Styela clava: one gene and its partners. The protein of the gene in region 2 binds, or shares a complex with, the protein of the main gene of each other region. Links are inferred from orthologs where the notes say so. Each region holds a gene or a part of one and is shown on either strand. Other genes may lie near its edges. The genes, in order: nuclear pore complex protein Nup107-like, nuclear pore complex protein Nup98-Nup96-like, nuclear pore complex protein Nup214-like and PCI domain-containing protein 2-like.

What was found.
Region 1: nuclear pore complex protein Nup98-Nup96-like (region 2) and nuclear pore complex protein Nup107-like share a complex: the UniProt entries of both Drosophila melanogaster proteins name them as parts of the nuclear pore complex. The link is inferred for Styela clava from reciprocal best matches to the Drosophila melanogaster genes Nup98-96 and Nup107.
Region 3: nuclear pore complex protein Nup98-Nup96-like (region 2) and nuclear pore complex protein Nup214-like share a complex: the UniProt entries of both Drosophila melanogaster proteins name them as parts of the nuclear pore complex. The link is inferred for Styela clava from reciprocal best matches to the Drosophila melanogaster genes Nup98-96 and Nup214.
Region 4: nuclear pore complex protein Nup98-Nup96-like (region 2) and PCI domain-containing protein 2-like share a complex: the UniProt entries of both Drosophila melanogaster proteins name them as parts of the nuclear pore complex. The link is inferred for Styela clava from reciprocal best matches to the Drosophila melanogaster genes Nup98-96 and PCID2.

Annotation. Positions count from the first base shown.
Region 1 is NC_135258.1:21,257,816-21,265,194, forward strand, and holds the start of nuclear pore complex protein Nup107-like, read right to left. Parts: upstream 3,012-7,379; 5' UTR 2,942-3,011; coding exon 2,904-2,941; intron 2,340-2,903; coding exon 2,236-2,339; intron 1,921-2,235; coding exon 1,828-1,920; intron 1,390-1,827; coding exon 1,313-1,389; intron 110-1,312; coding exon 1-109. Other genes in the region: uncharacterized protein LOC144427178, read right to left, coding at 3,286-4,035. UniProt on the Drosophila melanogaster protein: Plays a role in nuclear pore complex (NPC) assembly and maintenance. Required for nuclear import of Mad. Mediates the association between the nuclear pore complex and a subset of active chromatin regions adjacent to lamin-associated domains.
Region 2 is NC_135250.1:14,540,457-14,548,216, reverse strand, and holds the start of nuclear pore complex protein Nup98-Nup96-like, read right to left. Parts: upstream 3,018-7,760; 5' UTR 2,810-3,017; coding exon 2,761-2,809; intron 2,081-2,760; coding exon 1,955-2,080; intron 1,062-1,954; coding exon 816-1,061; intron 62-815; coding exon 1-61. UniProt on the Drosophila melanogaster protein: Part of the nuclear pore complex (NPC). Required for MAD import as part of the Nup107-160 complex and required for nuclear export of Moe probably via its association with Rae1. Plays a role in nuclear mRNA export.
Region 3 is NC_135255.1:11,062,701-11,070,500, forward strand, and holds the start of nuclear pore complex protein Nup214-like, read left to right. Parts: upstream 1-4,799; 5' UTR 4,800-4,910; coding exon 4,911-4,958; intron 4,959-5,718; coding exon 5,719-5,865; intron 5,866-6,334; coding exon 6,335-6,532; intron 6,533-7,535; coding exon 7,536-7,648; intron 7,649-7,800. UniProt on the Drosophila melanogaster protein: Part of the nuclear pore complex. Serves as a docking site in the receptor-mediated import of substrates across the nuclear pore complex including emb, RanGAP and phosphorylated Mad. Protects mbo/Nup88 from proteasomal degradation at the nuclear pore.
Region 4 is NC_135256.1:15,194,905-15,202,464, reverse strand, and holds the start of PCI domain-containing protein 2-like, read left to right. Parts: upstream 1-4,554; 5' UTR 4,555-4,644; coding exon 4,645-4,680; intron 4,681-4,937; coding exon 4,938-5,101; intron 5,102-5,528; coding exon 5,529-5,636; intron 5,637-6,187; coding exon 6,188-6,242; intron 6,243-6,381; coding exon 6,382-6,485; intron 6,486-6,862; coding exon 6,863-6,937; intron 6,938-7,045; coding exon 7,046-7,141; intron 7,142-7,543; coding exon 7,544-7,560. Other genes in the region: E3 ubiquitin-protein ligase MARCHF5-like, read left to right, coding at 1,767-2,683. UniProt on the Drosophila melanogaster protein: Required for the export of nuclear mRNAs and involved in mRNA trafficking in the cytoplasm.

The DNA of each region.
Region 1 (7,379 bases), on a different chromosome or scaffold from region 2:
CAGGAATACACTGTAATGTTGTCATATGTTGAGTGAAGCCAGATGGAGTTTTAGGTTCAAGAAGATTTCTCGTTGCATCAAGTTCGAAATTTTCATCAGAAATGTCAAGCTAAAAATAACTCTTGAATATTAATATTCTTCAGAATTTTTCTGTACAGAAACTACAGATGATGAAATATAACAGAAATCTTGTACAAGACTATTAGCCATGTGTCAAAATGCTATAAATTTAACCAAATAACAAAAGAAAGAATTTATTCCAAAGGGGAACATTTCAAATTAACTGATTTATATTAGTTTTCAATTGAAAGAAGCATAACAACAAATATTATTATTAATGATAGTACCAAATTACACGATTGGGTTAATTAGGTTCTTGCATATACATATGTCAACATAACAAAAATATTTACTGGTAAATTTTGAAGACCAAACTACTCACAATTTGTGAACTGTAAAATGCCGAATTTACTTTAGACAAATTAGTATGATATACTACAGCAATTGAAAAAAATATATATTTCACTCAGTTTGCACTTCTCAGCCAAGATGGGATTTGGTTTAATCAATAAATATTAGAAGAAAATGAGTTGGAAAAGTTTGGTATAATTTACAAACAGATACGCAAAAATATCGACACCTCAAAACCAAACAGTGCTAAGTCCACTTTTCCAAAAAATGACATTTTTCAATTGCTGATTTTCCTGGACTTAGCTCTACATTTTGGTCTATTTGCCTTATCTCTAGGTGCTCTAGATCTCAAGACAGCTATGGACATAACCCTGCTTTTTTTAGGGCATTTGAGAACTAAACAGACCTGTGTCTACTATAGTGGACTTAGCTCTGGATAACTGCATTGTAAGTTGGGGCTAAGTCCGTTTTTTGGACATAGCTCCTCTCAAAAAATATAATACAAAGCGCTAAGTCCGTTTTTTGGACATAGCTCCTCTCAAAAAATATAATACAAAGCGCTAAGTCCATACCAGCCTCTATAATAACATAATAAAGGGGCCCTAAGTCCAATAAAATTGTTTTTGGTCCAGAAAATTGAGAGCCAAAAAGGGTTAAGTCCAAAAAAAAACCCCAAAAAAAATTGGGGCGGAGCACAAATTTTTTTATACCATCTAAATATGGCCTTCATTGTAACTTTGGTGGACCATAAAAACTAGACATCCTCAATGTAAGGTATTAGAGAAATAAAAAAATGAAACAAAAAAAAAAACGTTTTTCTCAAAACTAGAAAAATGGACTTAGCCCAATTTGGATTTCATGCGTCGATATGCTTTAGAAAGTCACATACACATAATCTCACCATGGAATATTCTGCTTCTTGTCTGGCCATCATTGTTCTAGGAAATTGCTGACTGGTAAAATCATAATTTGTCATTCCTGCAAGCATTCAAACTTTATTTTTAAGTGAACTAGATTCAAGACAACAAAAGTTCTATTCTTCGGGTTTCTGTGAAACTGATTACTTACTTATCCTACTTTTATTGAGCTAATAGATTAGTATCTCCATAATGTAAGAGTGCTAATGTGCAACATGTTCTTGAATCACATAGAATAGCTTGCAAATTGATGATAGATGATAAACAAATTTTTTTAAGATAATTCTATGTAAATGTGCACACAACCCTTATCATGATTATACCCTTAGAAACAAGTAGATTAGAGATTATAATTTGGCATAATTTTGTGGCTAGTTACAATGTGTATGGTTTCCAAAACTTAATAACAAAGTCTAGCAAATTATAAAATGCCAATATAGAAGTAGCGACCTGAAGAATAATTTAATATTATTCAATTCAATTCATCTCATAGAAATACCTCGGCTATTTGAGCTAGGTCCAGAAATTGGAGTAATTGCTTCAAGAAACGCAGGATTCTCTTGAACTATACTCTCATCCAGTTGTTGAAGACCTGAAAGTTAAAACTTGTATTAAGTTTATAATTAAGCAAGCATTTATATGCCAAGTAAGCACACTCCAAAGTTTTCCTCTTTTATCCACCAAAAATGGGATAGCCACCCAGTCCACAACAAATCATGAAAGAAACTAATGTTGACTGTATATCTGAAGATACTTGTTATATCTGATTTGCATTTATTACTTTGGTTCAGTAATACACCTAGTGCTGCTTAATTTTTTACCAAAGGATGACAAAAAATCTGATATAGAGGGGAGTGAAGAGGAATACCTCATAATCAAGTTTTAAAAAATTATATTCTGAAAATACTTTGATATTGTTGTGGTGTCATCCTTGATCTTCTTTGCATACTTCTTGCGTCTCTCATTGTTGATGGTGAATTAATCAATCCACTTGCGTTCAAACCTCGAGTTCTGAAACATAAGAGATAAGCATATGCATTTAGGATACCGAGACTATCACAGAATATTGAACACCTTAGGAAGAAACTTATTTTCAATTTTAGGAAATTACTTGGAAGACGTATCAAAAAAGGGCTATTATATCTTGCTGGCATGTCTGTCCAACAGAGCACTTAATGCACAAACGAGAATATCGGTCGGAGACCGAAGACTTATCAATCGAAAATGCGGTTTCGATTCACGACTCTATAGTGACACAGCGTGTCCCATCACTAATTAATTAATAACTCGCTAATTATAGGACATAATTCATCCAAAATCAATAGGCTTCTGGTCCGAGGTATGATGAATGCACATGCAATTTGGAGCAGATTCAACCTCGCCTTCGTGAGATATCGCGTTCATCTAACAGACAAACAAACATACGGACAGACAAATACCTATCAACATACTTAACGATCTTAAGATCGATAAGTAAAAACTGAACAATCACCAACATTGAAGTAAATTTTATTATTGAAGTAATAAAAATAATATAGGTGTGAAAAAAACATTGGCAACAATTTATTCGCTTACCTACGACTACCAATATATGATCCATTCCTTTCATCCATGTTTTGAAAAAATGTTTGAAGAATTTTGAAGTGTCCCAATAACAATTAATATTTAAATCTATGTTCTGAAATAACCGAAAATAATGAAAAACTTACGATAGTGAAAAAGGCACAGTCTTAGAATGAAAATCGGCAGTGAGAGAAATAAAGCAGTGATGGAACAACAACTGGGCATATCAAAATACCAGAAAGAAAGTGGCCAAATATTCAAGTACAAAACATATAGAATTGACCTTAGCAACAAAATGATATGAAATAATCAGTTGTGTCCAATGTTGTCCAAGAGTCAGGGGTAACACCTTTTAAGTTCTAATAATTTTTTTGATTCTCAGTACACATACAACTTATGAGCATTCCATTGGCTGATCAGAAACTTGAGCACTAGCAAATTCTGTTGGTAAACAGGTCTGGTCACGAGGTGGAATTTGAAGTTGTTCAATCATTTTAATACACGTCAATGCTTCACCAGTTTTCTTGTGTTTTCCTTCTAATGTTTCAGTTTCCGGTTCACTTTCAGTGTCTCTCTCATCTCCACTGGAATACTCAATATCAGTGAGGGTACCCCCTTCCATGGGGTCGAAATATTCATCTTCGTCAGATTTATATTCCTTATCCATATCTTCATCTAATATTGTAGCTGTTCTGTAGTATTTGAAAGAATCTTTACCTTCTTTTTTATCAGAATCTTTGTCCTCCTGCTTTTCATTACTGACTTCTTCTTCTTCTTCATTTTCACTATCTTCTGCTTTCATTTTAGCTTGTAATTCCTTTCGCCGCTGTTCATCATTCTCATATTTTAGTTGGAGGAACTTCTGACCTCCGAGTTCAATTAATTTTACATCGACCCCAACTTCTTCTTCTCCACTTGAGCAAGAATCTTCTTCCTCATTTTCGTCAACTTCTTCATTAGGAATAAAATCTTCAGAATTATCGTCTGCTTCAAAGTTAGTTTCTGCAAATTCCTCTTCTTCCCCATCACTTTGAGAATCTGCAGTCAGTTCCTCCGTCTTCTCAACTTTTTCTTCAACATGTTCATCCACTTTCTTCTCAGGAGCAATGGTGGCAGTTACATTTTCGCTTTGTACATCAGACATGATTTATTATGATTGGTTTATGGTTATGAAGTACAAATTTATAGACACTATAACTGAGCATATGAAACGAAAGAAGATCAGGATGATCAAAGCGAAATTGTTTTAAAAATTACCACCATACCAAGATCATGAATATTCAAATAGTGAGAATCAAAAACCATGAGTCTAATAATCAAACAAAAAATGATAGAACTATATCAAGAGAAACTTTTCATGTTTTTTATTCATTTTCAGCTATTTACAAAATTAAAATATGCTGGTTTGGAAGTATTTTATCTGAAGCATGATGCAGAAATAGTTTTTATTAGTGCATCTGTAATAAAAAACTAGAATTTGGGTTTAGTCAAGTAAACATGTTTGAATTTACCTACTTTCAATGTTCATTACAGCTTTTTGCATAGCCTATGTTCAGATGTTGGATATAAAAAAATAGTTTAACATTTACAATCAGAGACCACACACGCTGAACATCTGAGACTGAAAGAGTAGGCTTATTTGTAAAAAGGACTGGACTACTGCTTTGGCCGACAGAGGTTCAAGCTTCGAAAACCGGCTGCGACATTGCATTCGCAAAGGTCAAAGATCAATTAATCAGCGACCAAGTTCATCAGAAAGTTCTGTGTTAATGTACAATTGTGAGTATCGAGATACAGGTTACAAAAAAACTTGTGTTTGGAGGATAGACTCGTATAGTTGTTAATTGACATGGGTTTTGGTGAGCTTGTGGGAAGATGATGAAAGATACGTGTTATCAATAATTAGGCAGTTTATAATAGGACCTATTCGAATTTGTCAGCAGTGTATATTACAGACGATGGGTACTGAAAGTCGGAGAGTGGTGTGGTTCTTAAACTCTGAAACTAGTCACTGATTGCATGCCCAATTTCTGTATTTCTCATGGAAAACGCCATAAAATCCGGACTGGATCAGAATAAATCAATCAATGACTACTGCAATATTAGAATATTCAGAACAGAAATACAAAATCTACAAACAAATAGGCCTACTTGGGTGAGTTTGGCGAGTAAAGCTTAGCTAACTATGAATTAAGTTGAAAAGTAGTCTAAATCAATATCCGGAAATTAATGAAAACTATGAACAGTGGTCAGTAGTGCATTAAACTAAAAGCAATCAGATAAGTATAGGTATTTCGGGTCTGGTATAGTTCAGTACCACATGTACTTCTACTTGGCCTGGCTCAACAATTTTTGCATATGTCAATCCTAACCCCCACCTGACTACGCCATTGAAAAAATACGTCATTCCGACGTCACAGTGCTGTAATAAGGCCCACCAAAGTATGCGGATGGTTGTCCAAAGCGCGCAGACAATCATCCAAAATCGAGCAACCATTTCTCTCGTTTCTCGTCACAACGATCACGATAGGAGAGAGATTGTCAGCGTTGGCGAGTTGGCGCTGATGCCATTTCGGGCGATGGGAATTTTACTTTGTCAGGCCCTATGGCGTGATAGTGACGTAATTTTTGGATGGCATAGTCAGGTGGGGGTTAGGAATAACATATGCAAAATTCGTTATAATACGTCCACCGGAAGTATTTGTGGTATTAAACTATACTAGACCCTTCATTTCAACTCCATAATCAGCATAACAATAAAATAATTGCAAAAAAAAAAAAAATGATTATGAAGATGAAGTGAGAGTTTATCACTAGAATCAATCAATCAATCATTTTATTTCGGCTCTCTGACTAAAACGGGACAATACAAAAAAGTAAACAGACAACAAATACAGAGATACCTGGAAGGCGAGCATAACTTAAAATAAAGTTAAAAAACGTACAAGTACGAGCCCACCCACCAAAAAATAAAATAGGAATAATACGAGTATACAAAAAATATGGACACGATTCAAAATCGGGCAGTGCTTATAACTCAATTTAAAATGATAAAAGCCAAATAATTGTTTGAATCAGTGAATAATTTACATGGAGTAAAATAAGAGTTGCGCTTGAAATAAGACAGCAAGATTCAAGTAGATAAAACTAAATGTAATAGAATCCCAACCACCTCCTCCGTTTCTGATAAATGTTTCAAATGTTCTTATACGATTATGGTAGCTGAGAAATCGCCAGGATTCTGGGATTAGCCTTGCAGTAAATATATATAAATAAAGCTGATCTCTCTCGAATTCTGTAAATTTTGAGTCTGAGATTCCTATATAGCATAGAAATATACAAGTCAAAATTTATGGGAGATACCGGTATCGCTTGCTGTCAGAAATGCAAAAAATCACCAAAAAACTATCAAATGTGCAAGACAGATAAATAAATAGGCTACATGTTTGAAAAGCAGCATGAAGTTTTGAATCATTAATATCGTGTTGACTCAGTCACTACCTCAATACATGTCCAGTATCATTACTTCAGCTCGAAAGGGACAACTGTAAAACCTGAATGAGGGAAAGTTTTCTAGGGAAACGGTAACCAGATGCCACGTCCATTCCAGTGACCCACACGCGCGCGAAAACAGTGGGGATTTCCCTTGTTTTATCATAGCTTCACCCTTGGCTTCACCTAACGGTCAATTTGTCGCGCTCAAGATATGGACCTTCCCCCGACCTTTGATCACCGAAAAATTCTTCCTGTACTTTACCATTGCAAAATTTTCGGGGCTATTTTAAGAGTGCTTCTGCGAGTTGACGCCTGTAAAATGGGGTGTGTTTTTCAACCCATCATTACGATTCATCGCATACAACAATCCGTTTTTTAAAAGTACCGGTGAAGAAATTTAGCCTAGTCTTTCACAGCTATTTCTACACTAATTTTTCCATACTGCAATTAAATTAAAACTCCTAGGAAGACAGAGTGATCATTGAATTATCTGATTTATATTTAAGTTTCCGAAACAAAACTGAAAACCAACGATGAGAGTTCAAAAACGAGGTAATGTTTACGACCACGCTTGAAAATCTGTCTGAGCAATGACATTAAACAACATGATAGGCAACTCTGACGTCACTCCATAAGACTACATGCGAAAGATTGTATTTCATGATACGCTCCAATGCACATATTTCTCGTCGCCTTTCGCGACCGTTTTCCGCTTGCTTTTGCTAACCGGCGTCCTCTTTACGTTTAGTACCTGCCTTTTTGCGCCTGTAACGAAAGAAAATAATCTCTATATCTAAGAAGTTTTGCTCACTTGGAAAGCTGGAATGACATACAAGCTGTAAAGAGTAATTCTGGACATCATAGACTTTTTTTTATCAGAGAAGATTACAAACGCGATAGAGTAAAGATTTGTGTGGGACATTTTGCAGATAATGACAAAGTTCAAAGTTAGTAATTTTAAAGTTTGCGCTTAAACATTGAAATTTCATTTAA
Region 2 (7,760 bases):
CCTGTGGGAGGGTTGAACTTAACCGCTCCTGTGCCATTTTGCTGTTGAGCAGATGAAAATCCTATCAACCAAAAACAAACAGTTTGAGTTTCACATAAGATTAAGATAACTAGATCAGTGGTTCCTAACAGTTCTACCCTGGCGGGCCAGTAAAATTAAAATCAATATGCTTCTAGACAAAATAGTCACACTTAAAAACATTTCACACGAAGAAAAACTATCAAATAATATGCGGCCCAAAAATTGAAATGGGTGAAACATAAAATAAAATCATATATTTGAGTAATGAAATGCAGTGCTGGGCATCCATTATGCCTGAGGAAGGCACTTATAAAACATCACATATAAAAAGAACAAGTACATGCTTAATCATGTACAAACGCAATTAACTCTAGTGAGCACTTTGCTGCTGGGCTCAAAGAAGTTTCTGCAATACCTAGTTCTGCGGTTGATCGACGCCTCAAACAAAATGAATTTACATTACAATGACAAAGTTGTCGGTAACTTTGCACCAGGCTTAAAATACTGGAAAAGATCTTTGTGGCCTTTTTTTTTTGCGTGTCACATGACCACCTGCAGGGTCGCAACAAGTTCATATCTTGCTGAAATACTGTTTTTGACCGTTTTCTGGTTTAAACTGGCAAAAAAGCACCGGCGGTTGGGAACCACTGAACTAGATGAAACAGGAACTTCAAGTCAAAGTCAAATTTAAAATTTGATCTACAAGTACAAGATGAGGTGACAGACTCACAGTCATTCATGTGTTAAAATTATCATTTACATATAAAACTTTACAAGTATTATGGATAACGTACCAAAAAGGCCCCCTCCAGTAGTTGTGGATCCAAATGAGGATGTTCCACCTGTGCTACCAAACAATCCTCCAGTTTTTTGCTGGCCGAAAGCTGAACTTGTACTTCCAAAAGCAGAATTACCACCAAATGCACTTGTTCCACCTGTAGCTGCCGGTGTTCCAAACAAACCTCCAGGTTTGCTAGATGTTGGAGTTCCAAACAACCCACTACTTGTAGAAGACTGACTAGCTCCTCCAAAAGTGAAGCCTGGTGAAATAGAAACAGATTGATTATTCCCGAATGCTGAGGTGTCTGTGTTATGATCACTTTTCCCCCCTCTTTAATAACCAGCACCTCTCTAATATGTATAACATAATAATGCTTTGCCAAAGTATGAAAAATATTTTATGGAAAAACTTTATGGAAAAAGCTGATATCCTCCTAACTATTGTCAAATTATCACTTCACAAAGTTTCTTTAATAAGAATTTCGAGGAATAGGCGATACATTAGCATTTTACCAATTTCATTAGTCGAATACAATAGACTAATAAAGAAGACAGATAGATAGTTTTATTTCGAAAACTCCACAATCTGACAATACAAACGAATAAAAAATGAAGAATTCCGGAGAGCGAGCAAAACCTTTAAAAAAGTTTAAAATAAGATGAGTATCATGTGCCCGCTCACCAACACGCATTTACAAAAAAACACAAACTTTGTTGAACAAGGCTTGGGCAAGAAATAAACACACAAAATCCGCGAATGTAATGAACTTTCGGGCTGTTGTTTAATTTTAAAATACTCAAGCTAATAAGGACCAATTCAATCTGGTACATAGATAATGTGTGTATTTGTAATGTGATAAGGTGACGAGAAGGGTCAAAAACCATGAAAACTACATTGATTTGGCATTGGTGACAATGTGATACAGTGAATCAAGATACATATAAACAGATCAAAACAATACTGGTAAATTCATGCGCTCAAGCAATTATAAAAAGAAGTGATCGAAAATGGTCCTATAGTTTTATACATTGATTGAAGATATAATAAATGGCTGCCATTACAGCACTTGAGTGTGCTTAGTTTGAGACAGCATGCTCAACAAAATTATTAGACTTTTTGAAGTGTATCATAATACAGTAAAAAATTTTATACCGGTTTTATTTGCCCCAAATGCTGGCGTGCTTGTGCCAAACAAGCCACCTGATGTAGTTGATTTATTTCCAAATAGCCCTCCAGATGTGCTTGTACTTCCAAAACCTGAATTATTGGTTCCAAACCCTAAATTCGAAATATACTGCAATAAATAATCTGGGCAAGACAGCATGGTAATGCACATGCTTAATAATTTGAAAGCATAATAACCAAATATCAGCTGTTAGGAACTATGAGTTTTGAATCCTGAGGTATAAATAGAGTAGGGCACAGTTTTCTGATTCCAAGGTGTCCTAACATTTGCTTCAATAAAACAAAGAGTCTGGCACAATGGCAGATATGCCATGTTTATCTGATAATTATCTTAATTAATTATAGTCGCCATTGCCACGAAATGCGTTTTTTTTGCATAAGAATTCTCTAATGCTACTGTAAAATTTTTTTTGAAGAATTTAATGATAATGTTTTTCGATTGCACTTGTTTTTAGTTTATAGAACAGTGCCGGTTTGCGCATTTTTGCCGATAGGGAGGCCAAAAACTGTCTCGCAAAGGCAGGAATTGCACTTACTGCTATATTTGATGTCTTTCATTATGGGGGCTATTCTTGTAATTAGAGAGCTGAAATCAGTGTACTTAAATATGGCTATATTATTAGATACCATCTAAGGATGTTATTGAAATGCCATATAGAATACAGGAATGGGTAGTAGCTACACAAGCAGTGCACTGCTCTTCGAGCATAGTCTATTGTGCGAGCAGGTAATTATATCAATAAACCTGTGGATTTGTGACATAATTAACTTACCTCCTGAGCCAAAACCTGAAGATCCGAATCCTGACTTCTGACCAAACATCTCTACATTTATATGATTAATGGCTTGTGAAGAAATTATTGTTCACTTGAACTGTCACACTAAAAAACGTGGAGAAACACAAGAACGGGCAGAGACTTCCAGACTTTTCAATCTCAAACTATTGAACTTTTTTCTTTCACAGTTTTGATTAAAATATTTTGATATTGTTATCACCTAATACAGTAATACTTTAATACAGAAATAGGTTCTCCTGAGAGTGGAAGTGGTGACTCCTCTTCGGCCCATGGGCCGGGGCCACGGCCCATCAGGCTATGGGCCACGGCCCATCAAGTTGTGTAAAGGTAAACTATTCACTTGGCTAACACAGACAGTCCCCAAACTCATAATAGAACTATAATGTAACAAATCTGAACAAAATTATGCCCTAACTCTAACCTGGTACACATACTACAGGAGTTTATTTTTTGGTTCGAATATTGACAATTTTGTAAAAATTGAAAATTTTGGTAAGATAATTGAATTTTTCCTGACGGGGCCGCGGCCCATAGCTTGATGGGCCACGGCTCATGTGGCTCAATTAGATGGGCCGTGGCCCCGGCCCATGGGTCGTAGTGGAGTCACCACCCCTGTAGTCTCCTGAAGTATATGCCCACAAGTACCTAAGTAGGCCTGGCTCATCAATTTTTTGCATATGTCATTGCTGGGGCTGTCCATGCGAACCGAATATTCGAAATCGAATCGCAAATTATTCGAATCGTTTTACGGCTAATTTTCAAATCGCTAAAAATTAGGTACATAAAATTTTTCATCGTTCAAGCAGCGGCGCTTCGAGCTTAGACAACCTTCGCCCCTGGCATAATTGGTTTCCCGATATTTCTTACATGTCATATTACGATAAAAATGTGTCTCTCCTAATGCCCAGTGGCATGTGATTAGTTATTTCAAGCATGGTCATAACCTAAATGTTATTATCATTCATGACGATTTTGATAGAGAGTACATAGGGTGAAAAAGGCAATATAAGTATCAGATAGAAAAAAGATAGTTCTATAAATAGAATCAATTTGCAGCTGTCCAGTTATTAATCATAGGAACATGGTACAAGTGACTTAAAGCTGAAACAGGTATTGCGGGTTCTTTATGATGGCAAAACAGGGTTGTCCAAAACGAATCGAATATTCGAATGTATTCGAATATCAAAGTATTCGAATACCTTTTCAGCTCATTTTCGAATAATTCCGAATAATAGCCACTTTTCGCCGTAAACGTGGTGTTTCGTTTCACGGGAATCTTCAAACGACTTTTTAAGCTGTCTCACGTATTGTAATGACGATGAAATAGAATCCTCACTTTGATTATTTGGATTCTGTGCGACCGTACGTCGCAAAGTGTTGCGACACATTTGCACGTTTGCGTGGGTGGACATTGCCGACATTCGTCTACGAGGCTTTCAATTTACAAATTCATTTCCATTACCTCGAAAAATTGACAATTACCGTATTACATGATATTTAATCGCAGACCGGTTATCGTTACTTTAAAGAGAAACACGGCCACCGAGATAAAGTGATTTGTGACCCTTTCGTTTTGCCGATTCAGCAGAACACGACAGGGACAGGAAAACACAGCTGTGAAATAACCCGTGGACGTACAGTGTAGTACTTATCACATTTCAAAATTATTTCAACTTTCGGGTTAATAGGTTGTCCAAAATGATTGACGCTTTACAACTTAAATTTACCGCTCAATTGTTAAAAATAGTTAATTCTGTGAGTATGATTCTACCGAACTAACATGATCTGGTTCTGAACATATAAAATTGTTAGCGCGTATAAGCACAACTGAACAACAGGGACACAATTTTTCTACCCGTCTTATTGGAGGCCTATATGGAAAAACCCATTTTTTGAGTGTTAAAAATAGACATCGTCCTATTTGCCAAGTGGACTTATTTAGCCGGGAAATACGGTATTTATAGCCGTCATTGTTACGATATCCAATAAATTGTGACAAGTTGGAAAAACAAGTCGATTCATTAGAAAATAATTTCTGGCAAATAATTCTGATAACGATGGTTAAAAGTATCGATCTTTTACCAGGATGATTCTTTGTTGCGCAAAATAATCCAATCCATGACTGGTACCAGCATTTAAAATGTCATGTCGTATTAATTTAATTCTGCTTATCGTAACACATGGTTGTATCGACAATCTGTGGACATAAAATGTGTGGTAAACTGACCGATATTATTAAATATTGATTTCTATTTTTATATTGATAAAATAATGAAAGTATTAGTACCAAATACCACTGGTATTTGTGGACATGAAATACGTGGTAAACTGCCCAATTATAATCAATTTCGGATTCGTATTTAGAAAATAATAAAACTATTATATATAATTGTAAAATGCAACGGCGATCTGTGGCCTTAAAATGTGTGGTAAACTGCCCGATTTGTCAACTTTTGAGTTATGATGATAGAATTAAATTAACACGGTAAGGCATTTTGAATAGTGGTATCGGCCATTGATTCGAATATTTTGCGCAGCACAAAATCATCCTGGTAAAAATATGCATACCTTTTAAATACAAACCAATGGCAGCCATTATCCAAATTAGTTCCCAAGAGCGGGATAAAGTATAAAATTCTTTTTCCGACTTGTGACAATTTTTTCGTTATCAAAAACTAATTGTATTCGGCACAATATCTCTGCCATCTGTGGACATAAATTGTGTGGCAAACTCGCGATTAATATTAATTTTTGATTCCCATTATCGTATTTACAAAATACAACGGCGATCTGTGGACTTAGAATGTGTGGTAAACTACCCGAATATAAATAGTTTTTGATTCCTATTTTCATATTTATGAAATAATAAAAGTATTATTACTCGAACATACAACGGTGATCTGCGAACTTAAAATGTGTGGTAAAGTTCCTGAATATAATTAATTTTTGATTCGTATTTTTGTACTCACGAAAAATTGTCACCAGTCGGAAAAATAACTCATACTTTATCCCGCTTTTTGGCAAATAATTTGGATAATGGTTGGTATTTAAAAGTATGAGCGTTTTACTAGGATGATTTTGTGTTGCGCAAATATTCAAATCCATCATCGATACCACTATTGTCGTATTAATTTAATTCTGTTAACATGATTCATGGTATATATATAAAATATATACTGCAATAATCTGCAAATATGAAATGCCTGGTAATATATATAGCTAGGTTGTAACTTGTTGATAGCAGTTATTCCATTGCTTATTGTATGGAAATTCCTACATACATTTAGATAAGCTTCAATTAGTGGATTTTATTTTCGAAGTATTCGAAATTTCATATTCGAAAAAAATAATTTCGAATGTATTCGAAATAGTGAACTATTCGGTATTGGCCATCTTTGATGGCAATACCTTTTAGAAACAGAATGTGTAATTTCTCATGATGGCAATACTTTATAATTTGTATATGTATTTTCCATCCATTTACCAAGACATTGAACTCTTGCATTTTGATGGCTGTTGTACAGTAACAATGTTATAGTCATCAAACTAGCTCTGAATTTGTGATCTCCTTATATGCAACTTCGAATTTCTTGAACAACAGTATTATCTATATTAATGGTTGTTATCATTTTGCAGGAAATAACACACACAAAAAAAAACATAAGAGTAATGATAATAGGATTAAAATAGCATCTACAGGATTTGCATGTTCTGTTAAAACTGAATCCATTAGAATTGAGTAAATAAGGTATTGAGAGTTCAGCCTTAACACTCAACAGTTTTCAAAATCCTGATTTTGGAGACCTCTATTTGGACCAGTTTATAGAGGCAGGGGATCTCCTTTTATAACTCTAAAAACATAGTTATGCAAAATATCAGCAGTAAATTAGATTTAACTGGACATAAGTTATCACAATATCGAGAGGGAGTTTTTATTGAATAATAGAAACAGATTTAGGACTGCGCAATAATATTCAATTATTCGGTTCAATTCGACAAAAATATTCGATTCGAATCAAAAAAATATTCGATTTTGGACAGCCCTAGTCATTGCCAACCTTCAACTGCAGTACTGACTACGTCACTCGAAAATTACATCACTGCGAAGTTGCGCTGACATAATGTGGCCCTCCAAAGTAGAGACCCCAGACATACATTATTGAAAAGTACTGGTTATCGTATTTGACTCGCAAAACCAAAAAAAGCAGATTTGGCTTTGCAGACCAGTGCAAATGGATTACAGAATCGAACAGCACAGTGGTTCGCTTATGAATATACAGATATATCTACTTTCTATTTCTATGTACAAATATGAAATAGCGGATTGCTAAGATAAAGCATGTGAAAACAAGTTTTCCAATTATTATTTATCTACTATTTATGATATACAAATACACTATACCAGGGGTTCCCAAACCAGGGGTCGCGACCCCAAACCTCAAACTACACAGAAGTCATTTTCAGTAATAAATCTAATTCTAGATATGGGTGCACTTTTGAGTGAAAACATTCCACAAAAATTTATATTAATACCTGACCTACCACATAATCAATATTCAGATATTAGCGGTACGGAGACTTATAAGCAGATAATAGGGGCTTTTACCTTGTCGATAGCCAAAAATCTCTCCAACACGTTTTAAATGCAGTTATTTTGAATAAAACCCCAAGCCACAGAGTTATTTATCGGGGAGAAAAGGAGGCGCAGTTCTTACCACTCCATGGCAGCTCCTGCCACAAACGAACCGCGGCAGCTCTTGCCATGGTTTTATAGCGCTATTCTGTATTCAGTAATCAGTATTAACGGTATATTCACAAACTAATGTACCAAATTCTAATTGATCATGCGGAATTATATTTACTTAAACCCTAACCCTAACCCCAAATCCATCAAGACTGTATCCATAAGAAAAACGTTCCAACTTACCCAATATTTGTCACCATAAGGGACAGCCCTGTCCTTACGACCCACCTGC
Region 3 (7,800 bases), on a different chromosome or scaffold from region 2:
ATTCTTTCCTTTTTTTAATGTGTACACTTTGTTGACTTTAACAGAATGACCCATTGTGCCACAGGGTCTGTCCGAATGTGCAGTACAGTGGGACACTTGACAAACGTTTTTCAAAGCATTTTGGTGGTAAGATAAAGATGCTTTAAAATCGATCAGCTGCACTTGGAAGTCTTCGATGTCCATCCATTCAAATACAAATAAGTTTAAGTCTTCGGTGCACTCGGGCTTGATGAGAAAAGAAAACAATGAATCAAATTGCTTAAAATCTCGAAATCTATTGGAAAACTGAAACGTTAGAGCCCCCATGTACCTCAATTGTATATCAATTTCAATTATATCAGAGAGAGAGAGATTTATTATTTGTCAACCAGAAAAACAAGTATTGCAACAGTAATAAAAATATACAATAATAAAGATGTTCGGTATAGACCGGGAGGAGCGATAAGACCATACGGTCATCAGAGTCAGCTCCCCCCATATTCACTATTTTATATTATGTATAATATTTTTTGCTTCCAGAGGGATGTCACAGTAATATATAAGAAGACAAGTGAATGATAAATAAAAAAGTAAATATTTATAATAGCAGTGGCGGCGCGTGGTCATTTTGACAACCGGGGCAAGCTACTGCGGGACCAAGTCACCCCCATCTACGGGGACAGGATGAGCGCTGTAAGTTCTCTCATCATTTTATGAGTATAAAAACCATTCCATCGGTAACAACCAATCGGCAAAAGCGACAATTTTTAACGATAAGAAAGTGTCTTTAAAACCGGTCCAAGTCAAGGGATTAATAAATATAGACATAGTTTATTTTGAAACCTATTTCAAAAGGAAAGGCAATATTTACCCAGATAAATACAATGACATATTAACAGAAACTTCGGGAAAGCAGACAAAACCTAAAATAAGGTTTAAAACGTTACTATGGAGAAAGGAAAGTTAATGCAAAGATAAGGACATGCGTCGCTCACTCATAGATATATATGCTGCTAGACTTCTACTGCTTGAACATATATGCAACACGCCGCGATTTCTTGGAAGCAAAATGCTCAATAACGCGTTGATTAAAGTCATGCATCTCAGAAATAACGTCTCTGTGAATGGATAAACAGCCAAGGAATTTAATCTATCTTGCTTCATTGTGTTTCTGAGATACGTTTTAATACGCTTCAACGTGCTGAATGTTCGCTCTGCGTCGGCGGAAGAAATAGGCGTCGTCAAAATGATGTCCAGAAATTTTGCAGACGCCGCAAAGGTAGTTACTAGAGTGTTATCTATGAGGAACCCATAAAGCGCGCAAGTTGATGTGATGTTCAAAAAAGTTTGATTGGTGTATATACATCGCAATTCATTTACCAATTTACCCACGTTTATCATGGGGTAAAATTTGGAGACAGTAGCCAACAAATGGATGGGAAATTGACGTGCAAATTTTGAAAAATTTTTGGGGTTCATCAAAGAGAACGCGGCAAGGTGTTCAGTGCGCAGACGATCGCCTATTTGATTCACCAGAATGTCACAGCATTCCTTTGCAGACAAAATCAAACGCTGCGTTGTTTGCCCGCGGCGTAAAGAAGCACTCCATGTGTCGTCGTATTTTATTGTATCCCGGATACGAGATACAGCATCGCAGAAGTTTGAAATACACGACTGCACAGACGCTCCATCCATTAGCCTTGACTGCAATGCGCCGTATAATACATCCACGTGATAGAATATTGTGGAGAAAAAAGCGAGAAAAAATGAAAACTCACCATCTTCTAGCAGACGCTTTAGACCTGCCGCCTCCCTCACAGAGCGTTCGTCCCAAACCGGAGAGCTCTGAATGCCATTGAAACACTCAATGAGCTCAGACCTAATTTCGGACACGCCCTGCACCACGCGTGATTGGAAGTTCCAACGTGTTGGTGCACAAGCTGGGAGACGGCGGCTACATATCTGGCGAAGGAGGTCAGAGCGCTTCGGCGAAACGGAAAAAAAATGAAGAAAACCCCGAAACATTTGCAAAAAATATACGGACGAGAGGGGTATCAAGACACATATTTTTAATAACGAGGTTAAATTGGTGTGCATAACAATGTAAAAAATGCGCATGAGGAAAATCTTCTTTTATATAAACTTGAACACCATGTTTCGACCCACTCATGACTGCCGCGCCGTCATAAGTTTGAGCTATCAATTTTGACTTCGCGTTGTAAGGCTGTAACACTTCTTTCAGTACAGCCGATATCTCGCAAGCCGTGCCATCAACGATTGGTACAAAGCTGTGAAATCTCTCGGTAGGTTTACCATCTTTCGCAAACCGAAAAATCACAGCCAGTTGGGAAACGCACATGATGTCAGTTGTCTCGTCAGACTGAATCGAAAGGAACTGGCAATTCTCAATTTCCAGAGCCAAATGTTGTAAATAAATTTTTAAACATTGAGTCGAGCTTTTTCATTATTGGTCAGTCCCTTATCAATTTTTATAATCCATATTGCCCACATATAGAGGCAGATGTCCCAGATTCGTATGGACTCAACGTAGGAAGAGAATGTAGCATTTTTCATCAGTATATACAATAATAATGATTTGGGACGTATAGATGCAAGTTTAAACGCAGAAAATTGGATGCAGCAATTCATATCAACATATACAATAGTTATGATATGGGATATAAATCCTTTAGATTGGATTAATAATATAAATGCAAGTTTGGTTTAACATAGAAAATGAATGCAGCAATTCATATCAACAATGAACGCACGCCTTCAACCTACAGCATAAATTGTTTAATTTTATAGGCCAGAACTAAACAATAAATTCAGGAGAATAACAACTTGATGGTCGATTGAAAAGGCCTTCAGGTGTTTGAAGTATCGAAAAGTTGCATTCTGGATGTCCCGTGTTTAGACATCCAGTCTAGATACAAATCCTTTCTATGCCTCAAAAAGACCCAACACCGTTTGCCCTGGACCCGGCAGACGAAGATTGAGTTCGCTAAGATGCGTGGTGATATCCGCGAGAAACATTAGTTTTACAAGCCAGTTTTCGTCCTCCAGTTCAGGGTAAGCCTTTCCTTGCCCTATCAAAAAGGCTCTTGTCTCAACTCGACATTCGATAAACTTCACGAGAACCTCACCGAGACTTAACCATCTGACACTGCTTCAGTGTTGTTGATCTGATGCACATCATGGTATGCACATTCCATCTCTTCAAGAAAAAATCGAAACTGTCTGTGTGTTGTAGCAGAGCGGGCGACCCTTACCACGATCAATCAACGATGAGCCACGCTGCCGCGCTATGTCCTTACTAAAATGGATATGTCCTTTCTAAAATCGCTATCTTCCTACTAAAATGGCCATTTTCCTACTGAAATAGCGTTGCACCTACTAAAATGGCTATATCCGCTACTGGTATGCCTCTACTAAAATAGCCTTGTTCTTTCTAGACCGCAATTCCGGTTTGCTTCTATTAAAACAGGGATGTCCTTACTAAAAATGCACGTACGCTATGTTCTTTCTATATGAACGTTTGTTCCTTCTAAATTGCGATTCCGATATGTTCCTACTAAAATGGCTATGTACGCTATGTCACAACTAAAATGGCTATGTTCCCTCTAAATCTAAATTCACGACCCCGATATGTCCCTACTAAATTGGCTATGTTCTTTTCGAAAAAAAAAATCCGCCATGTCCCTACAAAAATGGCATTGTGCGCTATGTCACTACTAAAATAACGATTTCCGCCCTTTACTTACTAGAATGGCTATGTCCGCTATGTCCCTATGAAATGGCTTTGTTCCTTCTGAAATGGCGATCCCGATATGTTCCTAGTTCCTACTAAAATGTCCGCTATGTTCCTATTAAAGTGATAAGAAGAACCCAATATTATCATGTTATTGAATTTGTCAAGTGAGAAAGATAGTATCACACTTTTTATGAAATCTTTCTGGAAGACAAAATTGCTTCCGATTTGCGTGTTTTTTTATTTGAGGAATAATATGACCACGTCAATATGGAAGAATATTACCTTATCGTCTTATTGATTTGATTGTAACGATGTGATAACGTTAGTACTCATTTGATGTTACTTGATTAAGGCGATGAATAGTGTGGCATTGGAACTTGAAACCCTAGTAGATTGAAACATTACTTACATTTTGTGGAATGACGTTATGTCAATATTGTTGTTCATATACGTACTATTGTTAAATCTAATTTCGCAAACCGGTGAGGATCTGAAAACTTGACGTTTCTGGCGTTTGTTTTTCTTTCAACGTCGAACGAATGGCCGTCGTGACAACGAGACATTTGTACGATTGGACTTTCTAAAACGGTTCAATCGGTTGATCAAACATGGTCTAGCAATTGATGAATGATAAAAGCAATTGTATTACATCGTCAGTTGTAAATATTAATTTGATATTGCGCTAACCCGTAAAAATGAAAGTTCACTTGAGAATTCATCAACAACTCTAGCGCGGGGCGGGTGCGCGCCAACCCGAATTTTATGAGAGTCTTTCTACTTATCTTAGAATTGGATTGTACGTTAAAACGTTAAAAAAGCAGTGCCAAGATAACGATTTTTGTTGTTGTGGAATGTGGATTGACCCAGAAATCCTTGTACTCAAACTTGGTCCTGAATATGTGAAAGGCCGCGACCGTGACTTGTTATTTATTTACACGCCGTTGATAATGCCACGCAGTGTTCCCATTGCGCTGTTGTAATGCAACCTCACTGTTCGTAATGCGATGTTCCTAATGCGCTACTCGTATGCTCAATTCTGCAGTTCTAGAAGTTTGCACTCAGTGTTGTATTATTACCGGTACCGTTTGTTTATAATCTTAGTTAATATTTCCTTACATATGATATTCCAGTATTTTGAAACGCACTTAATTTGACAGAAACTTAACTTACTTTAAAAATGACTGAAGAGGAAGAAGAAAATTTCCCACCAGAAATACAGAGACTTGTAAGTAGATGCTTAACTGTTTATAAGATGATAGATTGAATAAGTCGATTTATATTCAATTGTAGTCTATAAGTTGCAATGTCATATTACTGTTCTGTAACATGGAAAACTTGATACAAAATGTTTAATGATCTGTGATAGTCTACTGAGCGATATCGTATGAAAACTTCAATTTTAATGACCCTCAAATGATCACTAATATACTGATATAGCGCTTTTTGAAACAAACTGAAGTCGCTGGTTTTATCGCCACAATTCAGTATGGCTCAGATTCCAAGAATAGCCCTCGCATTAAAAGACATGAATTATAACAGTGAGTGCAAACCCTTTATATTGCGAGACAGTCTGGGCCTTCATACAGTCATATCGCCACAACTCAACTGCTCAATAAACTAAAAGGAAGCGCAATCTAAAAACGTCACATTTGATTCCTCTGAAAAAAATAATCCGATTCGATTCACCAAAGGAAAAATTTTTTGACCGAGGCGTGCCAAAAGCCCTCTTTTTAGCGACAAATGGAGAGTTTGTTTTATTGAACCAAAGTGTTGGGGCATCTTGAAATCAGAGAACTGTGCTCCTTGGTACCTCTGGTCTTTGTATCTCCATTTCTTGTAGGCCTAGTTTTATTGTTTTGTTTTTTATGCCAGAGCGATTAAAATTGAATTGAATATATCAAACTATTAAATGACGGTAGGCCTATAGTTTCTCTCAATAATATATAATTGAGATAACTTTTTTATTGCACAAATTATCATTTCAGCCAACTGAATTTTCATTTCGTGAACTGACAAACTTGAAAGCTTTTGTATCAGAAAGCCAACCTGAATATGCCACAACACGCACTGGCCTTCTTGCTGTTGCTAACATCTATGGATATGTCTTTATTGGAATGCCTGATGGCTTGAAGGTAGCTCATGTTGATTTCTGTGATGAATGATAAACATTGATGAAATAGTAAAATTTATTTATCTATGGAATATGTTTGCTTTTGTATCGGACTCAATTAAATGCTTGTAACGCACCTATGTTTATGCTGTCAATATTGGATAAATACCATAGTAAATTCCTCTGTATTATATTCTGGACTGTTAAGTTTAAACCAAACTTCAAACTCTTGGACATTAAAAAAGGAATTAGGATGTCAAAAGGACTTCAGCTTTCGATTCCAATATGAAGGAAAATTTGTCTCCCCTTGATGAGAAAAAATTTGGCTTATGCAAGCTTTCTTGTATTATATGTCGAGACGACTCAACTCCAGATTCCGACTCAAGGGAGGTATAAAATTAGACCCAAGCTCAGACTCCAATATCAATAAAAGCATCCCAAGCCGCCTGAATTCACAACCCTAAAATAGCTAAATGTTATTCACTATTTAGGTGCTGACCTCTGCTGACTTGCTTGAAGCTGGAAAGAAGAATTTGAATGTAATTGACTCAGCTGTTGCGACAATTGATCTGAGAAATCCACCAAACTGGATTGGAATAAACTCTGATAATCTCACTCTCTCTGTGTGCTGTAAAACTAGTAAAGGACCACAGATATTATTTTTTGATATCAGGAATATTATCAACAAGGTAAAATGAAATAAAGAAAATACTCTGATAGCATTGTTGTACATTAATATACAATGCAAAACAAAATGATATTATATTTTGATATCAGGAATATTATAAAGGCAAAACATAAATCAAGAAAAAACTTAGATGTTCATTTGTATACAAAAATGATGGTCGTATCGGAATATGGCAATACATTGCCCTCGTGGTTGAAACGTTAGACTCAACTGTGTTGGCATCGCAGATTACACATATCAGGTTTAATTTCTGAGCTTCCCACCACTCCCCAGTGTAATATAGTAGGGCCCACGATGCCGACTCGAAAACATTTCGGATCCTTCCAAATGAAACTTCTTGCATATCGTGAGATATCAGTGGCCGTTTGTATATTACCTTGTTCAGAGGGAAAAATGTGAATCAGCAGTCTTTTTAAAATTCATATTCTGGTAGATGCTAATTTGTTAATGTCTAGTTACCAAAGTGGTGTTAGGAGAGATTTTGTGCAGAAGAGATATTCTCTTAACGAATTTATATAAATACTTTTGCTTTTTAATATAAATTTATATTATGATTGTTATTTCTAAAGTAGCAGGCATTCACTCATTAGAATTTACCTTATTTTTTTAATTTTTATGATAAAATGTACTCAAAGCTCAGAAGTAATAAAGACACATCAGCAAAGTTAACTGAAATGCTGAGGGCTACTGAAAAAATATAGAATAATGGTGGTGCTTATGATCAAGAAAATGTTGATTGACATAAGACTTGAAGTACTTAGTGGTCAATACAATCAGTAATACAGCTATGAGATAATGTTTTTTACATAAAGGAAGTTCTTACTACATACTGATCTTGTATGCACCACCGATCAGAGTTATGCGAGAATAAGCCGACCCCTTTTTTCAGCAACTTTTGAGTTTCAAACTCTGATTATATGCGAGGATATATGGTAAATAAATTTAATATTGTCCATATTCTGGGCTTACACCGAATTACAGTTCTCATTTTCTATCTCTTACAGTCAAAACCTACCAAGACTCCATTTCATAGTATATATTTGAACAAGGATCCAAACTCATATGTGGTTAGTATGCAATGGAATCCTTCACCTGTTTGGCCAAATCTCCTTGCTATGTAAGTAATGTAATATTTTTATTTATTCTGTTTTGTTAAAAAACATAATTTGAGCATATATTTTGACCAGTCTATTTGATTATTATGTTATTTAAATCACACTTTCATATTAATTATAATTTTAGATTGTTTATAATTTTTTAATCAACAAT
Region 4 (7,560 bases), on a different chromosome or scaffold from region 2:
ATGGCAGTATGGCTATGGGGTGGTGCAAAAAAAATATTTTGAAAGCAGCTGGAAGTTTGGACCAGTCTGCCAGTAGGTTACAAGCCTACAACTGCTGAACTGTCTGACTGTAAAAAGGCATGAATTAGGTGGTTCAGAAAAATGTTGGTGCTGCACTTTCGGCGCAAATTCATCAAACGCAGTGCCTTATTAAAATAATATGGCGAGTACCGGTACGGTACCTACAGTACCACTGTACCAGGTTATCGAACGAAATGTGCGATTATGCAAAGGACCAGTGCCAAGGGATCTGAATTAGAATTGGGAAACACTACCAAAATTCTGCGATTTATCTTACCTTTTAATAATTAATGAATCAACGATGATTGACGCAGAATGCAGCAGCTGGTTGTGAACATAGCTTGCAATTTTTGTAGAAGGCTACAATTGTGGTGTACGGATTTGCCAGGCATGGTAGCCTAGGGGCCTCGACATCCAATTTTGAACTGTTATTCATTTTAAGTCGTTTTTAAATTTTAAGGCTTTTACTGATTCAAAAATTTTTTTAAATTGACATTCATTGAATTTTTTATTTGGCTTAATGCTTGTCGCAAATATATTCTGTTTACAAAATTAACAATTAAATACGATCGAATGAATGGATTGTTCCAAATTTCCAACTTCACCCCTTCAACTAAACAAATATACTACTTCGAAATAAATGAACAGTTTTTTACCATAATAATTCCCTCTATTTATTGAAAAAGATGATACAAATCGATATATAGCTATACTCATTCATCTAAGCAATATTTAATCTAAGAATTATTTAATTATTTTATGATTTTCGGATAGTTTTTTAACAAAGACCCGTTTATTACGAATAACTTTTTTATTAGTAATATTTTATTTATAAGTAGGCCTACCTGGGGCCATGGCCCCTCCCTCACTTTTCCGCGACCGTAAATGGTTGTTATGAACCCTATCCAATGCCATGATTTTATTACAGCCTTGGGTTTTTGAAGAAGTTCTTAAATTTAACTTACTATCCAATCTATTCGGGTTATTAGCGAATGTATATTGCCTGTAAATAAAATTTCGTATAATTGATTCTGTGAAACGTTGTGACGTCATTGTTGAAGGGACATTACAAATGAAATAGGCCTAGCTTAGTGGCCTCTTGCTGTCTAAATACAGCCCTGCCTGTACCCCATAGTTCATAACATTTATTGAATAATCATAATATAGTGAATGCCATAACTACTTGAATAATGGCAAACAAAAATGTGATATGAAAATAGAGCCCATAGTTTTATTTTTTTTAAGTAACAGTCTGTCTTGTGGGTAGTATACTGGTATAGCAGGATGAATGCCTTAACTGCTTAAACGAGAATATCGGTCAGAGACCGAAGACTTATCGATTGAAGGTTAGGGGATGCCCCAAAACAGCGCTCTTACTCCATAGTGACACCATGTGTCCCATCACTAATTAATTAATAACTAGCTAATTATACGACATAATTCATCGAAAATCAATAGGCTTCTGATCCGAGCTATGATGATACACACGCAAAATTTGGAGCTGATTCAACCTCGCTTTTGTGAGATATCGCGGGCATCTAACAGAGAGACAGACAAACAAACAGACAAATACCTATCAACATACTTACCGATCTTAAGATCGGTAAGTAATAACGCTATTAGCCTTGAAAATTTGATTCTAATTCCCTAGCTTAGGGATCACCTATCTATTCATAGTCTAATGACCATATCTGCATAATTATCAGGTACATATATGATGGAGGAAGCTAATGATTCCTCAACTTCTGTTGGGACTGGCACAAGTGAGGATCCTCAAAGCTCAACATATAGAAGTTGTTGGGTATGTTTTGGAACAGATGACGATGAACATATGAAATGGGTGAAGCCTTGTCGTTGCAAAGGTACGACAATGTGGGTCCATCATGCTTGTTTGATGAGATGGATAGATGAAAAGCAGAAAGGCCATTCTTTTACTAAAGTAAAATGTCCACAATGCAACACTGAATATGTTGTTGTTTTTCCACCTTTTGGAAAATTGACGAGTTTTATTCAAACGATTGATCACATTGTGTTTAAAGCTTCACCCATTGCGGCAACCGGAGTTCTTCTTGGATCAATATATTGGAGTGCGGTCACTTATGGAGCAATCACAGTAATGCAAGTTTTGGGCCACAAAGAAGGGTTAGATATGATGGAGCGAGCAGATCCTTTATTTTTACTTGTCGGCCTTCCTATGATACCAGTCGGTCTTGTCCTTGGAAAAATGATACAATGGGACGATTATCTTTTGAGGTTATGGAAGAAACACTCTAGCAAGTTGGTTTACTTGAAAAAGCTGATTTTTGGGACACGCCCTTCACAAGAAGGAACTTCAACCATACTTCCTCCATCTCCAGTAGAAATGCGACAGACAAGAGAAATCAAGTTTACGAGAGTTCTTTGTGGAGCTTTGATCTTTCCAACCGTTGCAACTATTTTCGGAAAGCTTTTGTTTCACAGCGTTGAGTCGAATTTTCAAAGGAGTGCATTGGGTGGCGCATCGTTTGTTATTCTCAAAGGATTTTTGAATATCTATTTGAAATATCAAGTACAATCAAGAATGGGACAAAGGGAAATCAAGGATTATGTAGAACCTGTTCCACAACTGGAGACTGCTACTTGATTATTCTAAAGAATTGCCACTACATGCAAATTTACTTCATTCAGCTATATATATCTTTGTTCCTTTGAGATTTAACTATGTAATATGAAATTTAATATTAATTCTACAAGAGTTTTAGACATTATACTTTTTGAAACTTTGATCCGGATAAATCAGCTATATTTGTGTTCATATTTTTTGCATGAGCAATAGCAAGCCGAAATATTTCTAGTATTTTCAAACCGCAATACTAATTTATATGTTTATTACTAGAATGACAATTCATGTTTTATACCTGTTAGATTAGTGGTTTTCAACTATTAACTGATCGCATACCACTCAACTGGTTTTTACTCTGGCCACGTACCACTGACAAAACCATATTTTAAGGGTGGGGAACAATGGCACAAGAAACGCACTGACAATAGGGCGATTCCTGATCTCTGGAAAAACGACGGGTGGCGCTATAAATGCAGTTCAGCAAAAATATACAGTATTGAAAATAAGGAGAAAGCGTTGCCGGCTTATTTCTGTCAACTCAAAAGTTAGTTGTTGTTAATAATCCAACAATCCAAAGCTGCTTGCGTACCACTAGTGCTATGCGTACCACATGTTGAGAATCACTGTGTTAGATGATCCATGGAATCTAAGATTCGACTGTCTGCAATTTGCTTCTGATTTAAATTACCAAACTCAGTGCAGAATCACAACTACTCAATAAATAATATTCATGGGGTAGTATCGGTTTCATAAGCAGTATCTGCATTTTAATTAGAAAACTGCTACATGTGAATAGATTGTTTTTATATGGTGTGCCCTATAGCCTATATTTTGGATCATATTATAAGTTCATTATTTGTACATGACAGTCTTTGTCCAAGACCTATCTAATATTTGAATACATTCAACACTGGGAAATATTAGATATAGTGAAATATTTTTTGAAAGAATTTTAAAATATTTCCATTTGAAAATTCGTCAATTTAAGCACTTGGCATCAGAGGGTAGGGTGAATAATAGCTCTAATTCTAATTCTGATACTGTAGAAAATCACTTAAGTCAATGTATATCTAAACTACGGTATTCATCTGCAATACCAAACTCAATTTCTATAAATTAACAAAACTTCCCTGCAGAGCATGATCCTATGCAGGATATATTTTACCATTCATTGCATAGTTAAAATTTCAAATCAATATAAAAATTCCAATGTCAATAATATATTTTTTGTTCCATTCACCTTGCCAAAATATATCCTGACATGTAATTTTATAATTTATAAGTCACTGCAATCATGAATTGCTGTCTTATTCAACCCATATTAATATACAGAGCGGTCAGACACAATGCATGATTATGCTGCATTTATTTGTATTAATTATGAATTTATTTATGTGTTTACGTTATTTATGTTTCTAGTGTATGGCAATGTTGTTATTGGTTCTATGTTTGACCTTTTTGAAATTTTAAATCTCGCTTTATCAGCAATACTTTGAAATGTAAAATATTTGATAATTTATGGGTACTCCCGAAGTATGTGTACCAGGTTAGGGTTGGGCCGTAATTTTATTCCAATTTCCCTTATTTTAGTTCTATTACAAGTTTGGGGACTGCCTGTGTTAGCCCCCTGCGCATAGGTTTCAGTCCCTTCACACAATTTGATGTAAAATAGGCGAACAAAATTAGGGATTACCTTCATATTGGTACACATACTTCTGGAGCGCTGATTTATGTCATTGTAGTATATGACAGGTCTAGACTAGCTATCTAAAAATAAATTATATATTGGCACAGTATTTTACTAGTAATTGTAAAAAAGGGTTAGTTAAACAAATATTGTTGTAAAACATGAGCTGAACAAACTCTTTGTTTTGTTTTTTGTTATTTTATCTTTAGAATATCTCAATAATAGAGTAGTAAATACAACTTGCTCATCTGTCATTTATGTTGGTTTATTTAAAGTTTCATCAAGTTATTCCAACATGGAGTTCCATTCCCTAAATCAATATCTGCAAGAAGTAAGTGTTACAAATTTATGATCAAATCCCAGTCTCGTTTTTAAAATAGTTTTGGTTTGTTGGGTTGCTTTTCTGAAGCCTTATTCAGAAATTTTGAACCTGCTATTAGATATTTTGAATTATTCTTATTAAAAGGTCTATTTTGATTATTATTTCTACTTTGTTATGTTATTTGCAACATACATTTCTGGTATCTATCGTTGAAATTAGTGTTTCGAAATTTCATCCAGATATTTGACCATGCTTCTTTTTTCAAGGTTTCAACAGCATTAGATGAATGTGATGGTGAAGCACTGGCAAGTTTTGTCTCCTTCAAAGATCCCCACATTGCAAATTCCAAGCTGCAGAGAGATGATCCAGAGGGAAGTTGCCAAAGATATTTAGAGAGTCCATATGATAAATTATTTGCTGCTCATGTAAAGTAAGTTAGATTAATTTGATTTTTAATTAAGATTTAAGATAGGGGTCCGTCATGGAATTTTTTTAAAAAAATTTGGGGACCACTGATCTGAACTGATTGGTCTCTACAGTTCTTTGGTGTTTGTCTTGTGGTTCCATAGGGAACCATAATGATCCAGTTGAAATGAGAACACCTTTATGTGCATAAAAGCGTCTTAGAGTACTTAAACTTTTGGGTACAAACAGAAGTTCCCTGCAAGTGTAGAATAAAATTTTCTTCATTTTTGCGGAAGTGATTGAATAATTTATTGGTTCTGTTTTTTATGTAGCACTCAATATATCCTGTTTCGTGAATAAATAAAATGCACATTTATATATATTATTCATTGTAACATTATATGTGTAAGTTGTGTTTTAGATTAGCTTATGCATATCATGTTCATTTGCAGAGCCTGTTTCTCTGTTGCAAGTCACAATTTCAAGGATGCTCATGGATATCAAGTTCTGGCTATACAGTCATTTGTTAAAGCTTTCCAATTACAAAAAGATGAAAATTGGTAATTTTTTTTTTTTCATGTTATACCACAGCAGAAATATTTATACACAGATTTCCTTTACAAACCTTAGCTTTTGGCATTTCAGTGTTGCCTGTAACTTTGTTCAGAGTTAGTAATTTTCACTTCTGAGTGTGTGGGACTCTGCTCTGATTAAATTATTTTAAAAATTTAAAAGCAATAAAATCCTTTTCAACTCAAATAATGTTTTTATGTCTCAGTACAGGACGTAAATTTGAAGTCTTTTTGATCTCATGTGATCCCATGAAAAAAAATACTCACAAGCACTTGCTTTGATCAGTATACCATATACACAGTAATTATAATGAGTCACAATATTTGCTGATGATGACTTGCAGTAGTTACTTCTGCATTGTATGACCTAATAAAAATTACAATCCGTAATCGCACCTATTTGATGTTTAATTTTGTGGAATATTATGTGAGTAATCATGGATCGACCACTCCAGGCTAAGGTTGATAGACCTCTCATGTCATTACCAGCATTTGATGTTACATATGGTATTTACTAAGATGATATATTGTTTTAACAGGGCTCTTCCAATCATGTATGCATTAATTTTGGATCTGAGGACATTTGCAAATAATGTAAGAGTATAATTTCTTTATTCCAAGTTAGTTACGATTAGTTCTAGACTAGTATATTCAAACAACCATTGATAATTATCATTTTTAACTTCCAATGACTTCGTACTGATTTGTAATAAAGCTTAATAAATATTTACAGGCTGATAGAGAATTACAAAGAACGGGCAAAGGGAAGAAGGGTGATATGCTGGAAAAAGCTGCAGACACTGTGATGAGCTGTTTTAGAGTTTGTGCTAGTGATGGGTATGTGACATGTCAAAGAGTGAACCACAGCTCGTTTACTTTTGTTTGCCTAACTTGATTCTGGTCCAAAAACCATGCCCACCCCTGTTTTATAACAACACAATCTGTTTGGATTTCCGCTTCTGAAATATCCATTATCTGCATTGAATGAATTAGTAATCTTAGATCATGATTTCTTTGATCATTTTATATGTGAAAGAAAACGCGGAGCTATCAAGTCAATGGGAAAATCACTGATAAAAAACTTCGTTAGAAGCAGCATTTATCGGGCATAAACAGCTTTACATAAATTTATTTAGTCTTTTATCGAGTATTGCTATAGTTTTATCCCAATATTTTAAATGTGTTCAAATTGACACTGACACTATTATTTGCAGGAGATCATCAATTGAAGTGTCAAAGAAATGGGGAATGTTATTTTTAGTCAATCAACTTTTTAAAATTTATTTTAGGTAAGATATGCTTTCATTTTACCTCAATTTATGACCAACGTGTTATAGTATTAAAGATAACCAACACTCTCATTGTTTTCTTTTTATCTTCCATTTGTTTTTAAACAGAATAGGAAAACTACACCTTTGCAAACCATTAATTCGAGCCATCGAGAGTAATAATATAAAAGAAAGGTTTACTTTGGCCCAGAGAGTGACCTATAAGTAAGTCTGTCAGTAAACTTCTGGTTATTAGGCCTAATCATTTAAGATAATTTTGACCAACAAGTTGGATTGGGTAATTATTTTAAGAACTTAAGATTAAAAATTTGTTGAGGATGGTAAAACGTTCAAATATCTGTACTATTATGCATTTTAGCACCTGGATGAAGTCATCTACGTCTGAGAATTTTTTATTATTAGGTTAACCGTTAGCCGGACAAAACTGTTTACTATTGTAAATTCAAATCCTTCGACGCTATTTATGAAAAATATTATTGTGTTTACATTTCTTCAATTACCATAATGTGTACTCATTATGACATTCATTAGAAATTGACTCTGAACCTGTCATGAAATTCTCTGAATTAACAGTTGGTATATAACATTAGTCATGTTTGTTTTTAGGTTTTATGTCGGTCGTA